Danio rerio: one gene and its partner. The protein of the gene in region 1 purifies or fractionates together with the protein of each later gene. This does not show direct contact. Links are inferred from orthologs where the notes say so. Each region holds a gene or a part of one and is shown in the gene's direction. Other genes may lie near its edges.

Region 1 (4,694 bases):
CACTCATACACTCATACACTATGGCCACATTAATTCATCAGTTCCCCTATAGTGTTTGGACTGTGGGGGAAACCGGAGCACCCAGAGGAAGCCCACGCCAACACTTGGAGAACATGCAAACTCCACACAGAAACTCCAACTGACCCAGCTGGGACTCGAACCAGTGACCTTAGTGCTAACCACTGTGCCACCCCTATTTAATATGTATCCCTAACATAGTATTTTTTGGACCTTGTGTTTGTGTGCGCGTGTGTGTGTGTTTCAGCTACAGGGAGGCGAGTGTGGAGGTGATCGAGGTGATGTCCCGCTTCGCTGTGATCGAGAGAGCCAGCATTGACGAGGCCTATATGGACCTGACGGCCAGCGTTCAGGAGCGCCTGAAGAACACCAGTGTGCAGGACATCACGGCGCAGCAGCTGAAGAACACACACATTCAGGGTTTCCCTACACAGCAGGAGAACACACACCTGGACAGAGGTCAGCCCTGTTCTCACCTGGTATTAAAGAGACAGTTCACCCAAAAATGTAAACACAGGGTCAGTTTTACCCTTCACTATTGTTGGTACACTATATAGAGTTCGCCAAAGGGTCCAGATGGTCTAGTATTTCTGGTAGAAATGTGAAGTGTAGAGATGTCCCTACTCTAACTGCTAATATTGCCCACCATTAGGGATGTAACGCTATTGTAAATACCGTCATTTTGATACCGTTACGTCCCCACCCTCCATGTGAATTCAATTAGAACTACAAATTCAGGGGAAAAGTGTAAACAAACTACAAAAATGGCGGATGCTCGAGACCAACTGTCCAGTAGAGAGTAAACCAGGGGTGTCCAGACTCGGTTCTGGAGGGCCGGTGTCCTGCGAAATTTAGTTCCAACCCCAATCAGACACACCTGGGCTAGCTCTTACTAGGCTTTCTAGAAACATCCGTGCAGGTGTGTTGAGGCAAGTTGGAGCTAAAATCTGCAGGACACCGGCCCTCCAGGACCGAGATTGGACACCCCTGGAGTAAACCTATAGAGAGGCTTCAAGAGATGTTTGAATGACTTAATTAAGATCTAGTCAAGTGGAAAATCTTTAAATCTTGTTTTCTGTGTAATGTAATGGTACTTTTACTTGAGTGAGCTGTTTCCTCATCCTCTTCCCACCGCTGTGTGTTGTGTTTGTGCAGATGCGCAGCGGGCCGCAGGTCTGCAGCAGTGGCTGGATCTTCTGTCCTCCAGCACTGAATCTTCACCTGCGGATCTGCGTCTGGCCGTCGGGGCTCTGATAGTGGAGCAGATGAGGGCTGCTGTGGAGGAACACACCGGGTTTCGCTGCTCCGCCGGTATCTCACACAACAAGGTGGATATAAGAGAATTTCTACGTCTCTTTCTACATTTACAGTTAGCGGGTGTTCAGTCGTGGTCATGAAGCGCAAAATAAGCTATATAAACCCAAACCCAGCATGATTCCCTTATTGTATCAAGCTGTTTAAAATAATTGCAATTATGGCCTTTAATTGTCTGATACATACAGAAATCTAATACATGACTCAATATGAACATATACTGTATATCAAATTATATGTGCGTATTTGTTGTTGTAATTATTGCAAATGAACATGCAAACTCGGATTTGTTTGCAGCATTTTGAAATATGTGTGCATATATAACAGGGCTCGAAATTGCGACCATTTTGGTCGCATATGCGCCCGAAAATTAATCTATGCGACCTCATAGTATATTTGGGCGCATTAGTGCGACTGCTGATAATGGTTGTAGTGCGACCTGTTTTGATTTTTTTGTAAAAACGTGCTGAATCGCTCTTCCCTGCCGCTATATTGGTTCATATTAGCTGTCAATCCCTCAAGGTATTCCGCTGTCAGATGACAGGGAAGGAGCTTGATGACCACGGGAAATGCAAACGGCTGAAGAGTAAAAACTTAAAGCACACAGGTTTGCAAACCCCACCTAAAGTTGAGGCGCAGATGAGAGCGATCATGACACGTCACGTGGTGAATAATGATCCGCTAGCTGAGATCAATCGATTACGCGCTTCTTGGAGAAGGCGCCCGAATCTCCATGCTTTGCATTCACTGCGTGTTCAGCGCAAATGTCCGCTAAAAGTCAAATCTAATACTGTTCATATCATCGCCAAAGAAGCTCGCCTTTACTAAGTTTACACTGAAACTGCGTCTCATAACAAAGAGCGGTATTGCGCCGATGGTTAGTCTAGATGGTTAGATCTAGTCTCATATTATTTACTGTCATCATGACATCTAAATATTCTTCAAGACACTTCTATACAGCTTAAAGTGACATGTAAAGGCTTCACTAGGGTAATTAGGGTAACTAGGCAAGTCATTGTATAATGATGGTTTGTTCTGTAGACGATCTAGAAAAAATATAGCTTACAGGGGATAATAATATTGAGTTGAAAATGGTGTTTAAAAAAATAAAAATGCTTTTACTCTAGCTGAAATGAAACAAATAAAACTTTCTGCAGAAGAAAAAATATTATCAGACATACTGTGAACATTTCCTTGCTCTGTTAAACATCATTTGGGAAATATTAAAAAACAAAAAAAATGCAATGGTGAGCTAATAATTCTGACCTCAACTGTATATGTGTGTGTGTGTGTGTGTGTGTGTGTGTGTGTGTGTGTGTTTAAAATGCAAACATCAATCCACACCTGCATGATAAATATGTAATTTACAAATTTCATTATCTCATTTGTCATCCTTTTAATTACTAAGGAATTTTTACAACTTTTTAAGATTAATTGACTTGTATTGAGAATATAAGTTGACACTTTGCACCTTGAAATATGAAAGTAATTTATTGCATTCTCTATATGTTAAAAACAATCACAACAAACTGGCCACACACACACACGTTTGTTTTTGTACTGTTTTATACTGTTCAAACCGTATATTGTATTGCCCTCACCCCACCCCACCCCTAATCATCACAGGAGTCAGTGTGCAGCTTTACTCTCTGATTAAACTCATCCTGTGTGATTTATAAGCTTTTTGAGTAATGAGGACGTCACCAATGTCCCCATATTTCACCTGCTTTTTGTAATACCTGTGTCATACCCATGTCATTATACAGATTTGTGTCCTGATATGTCACAAAAACACACACACATAAACACACACACAGAAATTCTGCTAAAGTTGAAACCGTTGGCTAGTATCTGTTGCTTCATTCTCCACAGTGATTTGTTGACGTCGCTGCCTGCTGTTTGACATGTTTATACTACATTTATTCCCAGTTATAATCAGTCTCTCCATCTTAAATGTGAAGACTGATGAACTGTATGTTGGTTTTTGTTTTCATTGAACTCTAATGTTTCTGGGTTTGTCTCTCAGGTGTTGGCCAAGCTGGCATGCGGACTAAACAAACCCAATCGCCAAACCGTGTTGCCGCTGAGCTCCGTTCCTCAACTCTTCAGCACTCTTCCCATCAGCAAAATGTAAGTGATCGCTAATCATGTCAGTAAAATTCCTCTTCGAATGACTTCAGTGACTTGAACAGTACTGCCTCGCTTTATTTCTCAGTGAATAAGTATTTAATTATAGTCAGTGGTTTTAGATAAGCACACCCAGCACTGCCTGTACCTCATGAACACGTGTGTTTCCACATGTGTATGTTGTGCTCAGTCGTAATCTGGGAGGGAAGCTGGGCTCGTCCATCACGGAGACTCTGAGTGTGGAGAACATGGGAGATCTGACCCGGTTCAGCAGAGCCCAGCTGGAGCAGCACTTCGGGGACAAGACCGGGTGAGCAAACACACACGGAGAGAAGATAAATAAAGCCATGTACAGATCTGAAATCAGCTGATATTCATTCAGACACTCATCATATGCAGCTTTATCATGGACTTAATGAGTTTGACAACTTGAACTGGACAGAATATTCAATTAAGCAGGCGAGGTTATTTCTGCTGCAGGTTTCACACACACACATGACTGACTCAAAGTGCTTTACAAGAAAAAGAAGATCAAATACACGTGTAGATCAGAACAACAGAATAAACATCATTAAACTTGATGAAGCAGATTTAAAAGGAAAACAGAAGAAAAAAAAGACATTAGTGAATCATGTGTGTGTGTTTCTGTGTGTGTGTGTGTGCGTGCGTGTGTGTGTGTGTGTGTGTGTGTTGTGTGTGTGTGTGTGCGTGCGTGTGTGTGTGTGCGTGCGTGTGTGTGTGTGTGTGTGTGTTGTGTGTGTGTGTGTGTGCGCGTGTTTGTGTGTGTCTGTCTGTGTGTATGTGTGCGTGCATGCATGCGTGTTTGTGTGCGTGTGTGTGTGCGTGCGTGTTTGTGTGTGTGCGTGCGTGTGTGCGTGCGTGTCTGTGTTTCTGTGTGTGTGTGCGTGCGTGTGTGTCTCTGTATGTGTATGTGTGCGTGAGTGTGTGTGTGTCTCTGTATGTGTGTGTGTGTTCGTGCGTTTGTGCGTGCATGTCTGTGTGTGTGTCTGTGTGTTTCTGTGTGTGTGTGTGTGTGTGCGTGCGTGTGTGTGTCTCTGTATGTGTGCGTGCGTGCGCGCGTGTGTGTGTGTGTGTGTGTGTGTGTGTGTGTGTGTGTGTGTGTGGTGCCTGTGTGTGTGTGTGTGTGTGTGTTGTCAGGCCGTGGCTCTATGATCTGTGTCGAGGGATTGAGTTTGAGCCGGTGAAGCCTCGTCAGCTGCCCAAATCCATCGGCT
Region 2 (5,293 bases), on another chromosome or scaffold:
GGAGTGAAGAAAAAAAAACCTTGAGAGAACCAGACTCAGTTGGGCACGACCATTTTAATTTCTCCGCTGACCAAAAGTCTTGTGCAGAGCTTCAGTCACCGCGGTGGAGGCTGCAGGCTGGTTATAAAAAAAGATATTTTGAAGAATGCTGGTTGACTTCTCAGGCCTGTAGCCAGGGGGAGTGTTCAGGTGGTTCGGAAGACTCACCGCTGACAAAGGTCTAAAATTTGTCCCGTATGCGTGTGCTCATTTGTCCTATTTTGACTGCTATAGTAACCTGGATAGTACCCGGAAATTAACACGTCTTCTGCAATTGGGTTATTGACTTTCTGACTAACAGAACTCAGAATGTTAGACATGTTCTCCACCACCGTCAATCTCAACACAGGTATACCACAGCCTCTTCCTCTACTCCCTTTTTTTACCCACGATCGCAGGCCCATAAATGAATCCAACACCATCATCAAGTTTGCAGATGACACCACAGTGATCAGTCTCATTAACCACAATGATGAAACTGTCTACATGGAGGAAATACAGCAACTGGCCACTTGGTGTACACACAATAATTTGCTCCTCAACACCAGCAAGACCAAGGAGCTCTTTGTGGACTTCAGGAAGGGACAAGTAGGGTCACATGATCCTATTCACATCAATGGGATGGCCATTGAGTCTGTTTCATCCTTCAAGTTCCTGGGGACCCACATTTCAAAGGACCTGTCCTGGACCACCAACGCCTCCAGCCTGGTCAAGAAGGCTCACCAGCGCCTTTTTTTCTTAAGGTAATTTAAGAAGAACCAGCTGTCATCAGCTGTCTTGGTGATCTTCTATCGCTGCGCAATAAAGAGCAACCTGACCACAACTGTATCACAGTCTGGTATAGAAGCTGCTTTGCCCAACGCATCACAGGGTCCCAACTTTCAGCCGTTGAGGACACCAGAAGAAACACTGTCTGCGCTAAGGACTCCTCTCACCTTGCTCACAGATTGTTTTCTGTTCTGCTTTCCAGCAGGCACATCTGCCCCATCCTGGTTAGACCTAAACTGCATTTCATTGCTTTGTAATTGTACATGTGTAATAAAGTTGAACCTAATCTAATTATGGTAAAAAAAATCCATCAAAAATGCTTTCAGACAAAGCCGAACGGCGTAAAGATGCTTCGGTGTGACTTCAGGTAATCAGTTTGGGCCAATGCTAACAAATATTTTTCATGAGTAGCTACAACATCCAGCTGTGCGAAAAAACATATGATCTGATGAAAAAGAAGTCATTTTTCACTACTGTATTTTAGACACATTTTACAAGTGACTTTTATTTTAAATAGTATACTTCTTGTACTTCTTGAAAAAAAGACCAATGAAAAGACGTGAAGCACCAAAAAAAAAAAAAAAAGAATTTAAATATTTAAAAAATATAAATAGATTTAAATATTATTTGGCTAAAATAGTCAAAAGGTGCAGTTATGATGACCACCCTTTTCCAGTTAAATCTGAATAGTGCTTAAAATGGCACTAAAAAGCAGTATTTTGAATTACATATTTAAACTGAGAAAATGAGGCATATAATTGCAAACCGATACACTTTTTGAGGAAAAAGAACCACCTTTTTACCAGGCTGGCCACGTGCATGCTTCTACAGTATTTTTCCTACTATGGAAGTAAATGGGCGGTTCATTCCCCCGTGGCGACCCAAGATTAATAAAGGGACTAAGCTGAAAAGAAAATCTAAATGGAAGTAAATGGGTCCTAGAAACCAGCATTCTTCAAAATATCTTATTTTGTGTTCTACAGAAGCAAGAAACGTGTAAAACATGTAAAGGTTTAAAACTTTTACACCAAGGGAGAAAAAATTATAAGGTCATTTTTGGAGTAAACTATCCTTGTAAAGTATGCTTCTTTTATCTCATTTCAGTTAGATTAACAAGAAAATGCTTCTCATCATCATATAATAAAAACTTTTCAGTTTGAACTTAATTAACTAAGAACATATATATCGAATTATTACTAAAGCATTATTAAAACTAAGTGTATAAAACAGAAGCAGCACAATAAAAGCGAACCCCTAATCGGAATTTTTGATAAATGGGTAAATGTTTACGATTTAACCGGAAGTGACGCTGTTGTAGGAAGTGTTCAGTGGAGCGCGCGGGAGTTTATTGTTGCTATCTAGGGAGCTAGTGTTTATTAGCGTCCCAATATTATCCAAATAACACTAAAAACAGCAGAGGAGTTTGTTGAGAATGGCTCAGCTAAATGAAGTGGACTTACCGCCGAACCTGTCATGTCTCAAAGTACGTTCAGTTTTTCTACTTTTATTTAACGTTAGATAAAAATATGAATTTATGCTACCAGTACACCAGTGGGTCACAAGCATATAACTTAAGATAACTGTTCCGTTCTTGATAAAGCACAACAAGTCTATTCACGATGTATTTGACTATTGTGTTTATGGCTGTTAATTTACTGACATTGATCGGAATTAACTACTTTGCATGTTTGTGTAACGTTACATCAGTAAGAATCTGTCATAACATTACGTATTTCCAGCGGTAACGCTGTTCAGATAGTATAAATCGTGAAATCGCATCAGATCTTGTATATTTTTGTGTGTATCAGCCTATGGATACTCTCCTCCGATGTCCCATCTGCTTTGAGTTTCTCAACATCTCCATGATGACCCAGTGTTCACACAACTGTACGTATAAAACGGTTACACACAGTTTATAACATGTAACGTTATGAGGGTTTATTTATTTATCTACCCATGAGCAATATGCAATTGACCATATTTCTTTTTGCTTTTTCCAACAGTTTGTTCTCTGTGCATTCGGAAGTTTCTCTCCTATAAGCTGTTGTGTCCTGTGTGTAACTCGGTAAGTGTCATGTCAAAATAATTCAATAATAATACATAATTTTCTTGTCGAATACTTTACAAGTTTAGTGTAAAATGTGAAGTCAGGGCTTAACATGGCACTGGTAAAAAGCTGATGCATTCATTTCATATCGAAAACTTTGCTGTTATCACAGTAGTTTAATTAAGTTTTTTTAAATAATGATTTTTATAAAACAGTTTCATTAATCTTTAACTCTGCTTGCAGCCATCAACAGAACAAGACCTCAGGAACAACAGATTATTAGACGACTTAGTTCAGAGCTTCCAGACGGCAAGGTAAAGCTTGTATTTGTTGTTTAAATGAGTGTTTATTAATAGAGTTTGGAATTTTGAATATATATATATATATATATATATATATATATATATATATATATATATATATATATATATATATATATATATATATATATTCTAGGAGCCAAGACACATATTGTAGTCCCTGGGTTTCTACTTCTATTTGTTATTTTCTTACACTTTAGGAGCTTTTGGGAAAGTTATGAAATGTGTCCTCTGATTCTAAGTGCACACTAGGACATGATGATCCTTAAGGCTTCACAATATAATTATTACAAAGTACATAACGTATAATAATTGTGCAGCTGCAGTAAAATAGTTACTGTAAAACTTTATTTTTAATTTGCATATGCTTTAGGGTCTGTTGCAGGGTAAACGTTTCAAGTAAGCTTAGAAAATGAATGCACTAGTAAACTACGTTTGTAGCTTAAACAAATATTTATAATATTTGTAGTTATGCAGAGAAGACTGTGGAGAGTTATTCTGATTATCATATCTCTGCACCAAATTCCTGAGAAAATATAAATGTGAATAAAAAGTAATTCATTTGTATTTAGGTCTATGCTTGTAAATTGTTTATTATAATTTAAGCAGATTGAATGCAAATAATAATTGGCTGTTGCTTTCAGTGCTGTTTCCTAAATAAAAAGTCTGATAGACTACTGTAAAACAGTATAAAATTGTTACTGTATTTTAGTGTACGAAGTAGCTTGTGCATGTAATACATCTGCACTATATAATACACACAGATTGCATACATGCTGAAAACATCAATAGGACCTTGTCCATTTTACATATCTCCACTATTTGTACTACACACACCCCTCACTGCTAGTCTGTCAGTCATTTTTTGTGTGGAAAGAGGAAAGTGACCACCACAATTTATATGAAAATGATTGCTTTGTTTTACAGTCCTTGTTTTATATATATATATATATATATATATATATATATATATATATATATATATATATATATATATATATATATATATATATATATATATATATATATAAAGACTATTGTATTGATACCTGCTGATTGAGGTCGGGCAATTTAAATGAAGGCAATATTCTTGCGAATTTTGTGAGTAAAGCAGATTCTAGTAAAACTCTCTAACACATGCTTTAATGGAGCAGCACCAGCTACACTGAATCCTAGTGCTCTGACAAACTATGCAAAATCATGTTCAAAATTGAAGTTGATTTTATAAAGCGGTATTGGCCATTGTTGAAAATGGTGCTACATCTGAAAGATCAGATGTAATTAGGGTTGTCATGATACTGGAATTCGCTACTAATCAATAGATAAGCTTTAAAAACTTCCATTTCCTGTCTACCGAGCACATTCTTAAACAGAGCTGATTTGCCATTGTGTTCATGTGCTTAACAGATAGGACTGTCATTGGCAGTGAAGGTCATCAGTTCACCAAATTCACCGCTCTTTACTGAGTGTAAATACAGATACAGGGACACTGCAGTGTTTCAAAGTCATGTCGATCAGCTGGTTTGTCTATAAGCTGATACACGAGCGATCCGCTGATGAATTGTGGCTTTAAAATGCTCCAGTGTCCCTGTATTTAAGTTAATTAAATCCTTCTGTGTGATGATTCAGCAATCATGTGTTTATTAGTCAAGTTGAAAGATGAAAGCAGTTAAATCTTCTTCTGTTAATCAATTTGGGGTTTTTCTAGGTTTCTTCTTCGTGTGTATTTGGATTTTAAATGGCCTAAGCCCTGAAATTATCAGTGTGTAGGCAGAGTGAAAGGAGAGTGGAGTGGAATAATTTGTACAGTATGAAAACCTTTGATAAAAATATTGCAGTTTTGCGGTATTATGACTTAATTTTTTTTATTGTGTGGGTAAAAACAACAACAACAACAACTGTTTTTTCCATTAAACACAACTTTTTATTTTCAGAAACATTTAAAATGTTTCGTTAAAGTAAACATGCCAGGCTAAAAAGTTAAAATAAATCATGGACTTCTGCTATTTTCATTAGTTTCAAAAATACAGATTCATTTACAACTTGAAAAGGGATATTTTGATTTTTTTTTCCCTTGGAGTAAGCCGCTGCACTGTTCAGGTCTAAAACATGCTTGGAT

The links. Proteins that work in one complex are often made in the same cells at the same time.
Region 2: the proteins of polh (region 1) and rad18 purify together in Homo sapiens (affinity purification with western blotting; 7 studies listed by BioGRID, with this or other methods). This does not show direct contact. The link is inferred for Danio rerio from reciprocal best matches to the Homo sapiens genes POLH and RAD18.

The regions. Positions count from the first base shown.
Region 1 is NC_133188.1:718,189-722,882, reverse strand, and holds part of polh (DNA polymerase eta), read left to right. Parts: intron 1-265; coding exon 266-477; intron 478-1,173; coding exon 1,174-1,346; intron 1,347-3,358; coding exon 3,359-3,462; intron 3,463-3,649; coding exon 3,650-3,769; exon of another isoform or gene 3,770-4,612; intron 4,613-4,617; coding exon 4,618-4,694. UniProt on the Homo sapiens protein: DNA polymerase specifically involved in the DNA repair by translesion synthesis (TLS). Due to low processivity on both damaged and normal DNA, cooperates with the heterotetrameric (REV3L, REV7, POLD2 and POLD3) POLZ complex for complete bypass of DNA lesions.
Region 2 is NC_133181.1:44,354,105-44,359,397, forward strand, and holds the start of rad18 (E3 ubiquitin-protein ligase RAD18), read left to right. Parts: upstream 1-2,106; 5' UTR 2,107-2,239; coding exon 2,240-2,290; intron 2,291-2,615; coding exon 2,616-2,694; intron 2,695-2,810; coding exon 2,811-2,872; intron 2,873-3,097; coding exon 3,098-3,168; intron 3,169-5,293. UniProt on the Homo sapiens protein: E3 ubiquitin-protein ligase involved in postreplication repair of UV-damaged DNA. Postreplication repair functions in gap-filling of a daughter strand on replication of damaged DNA.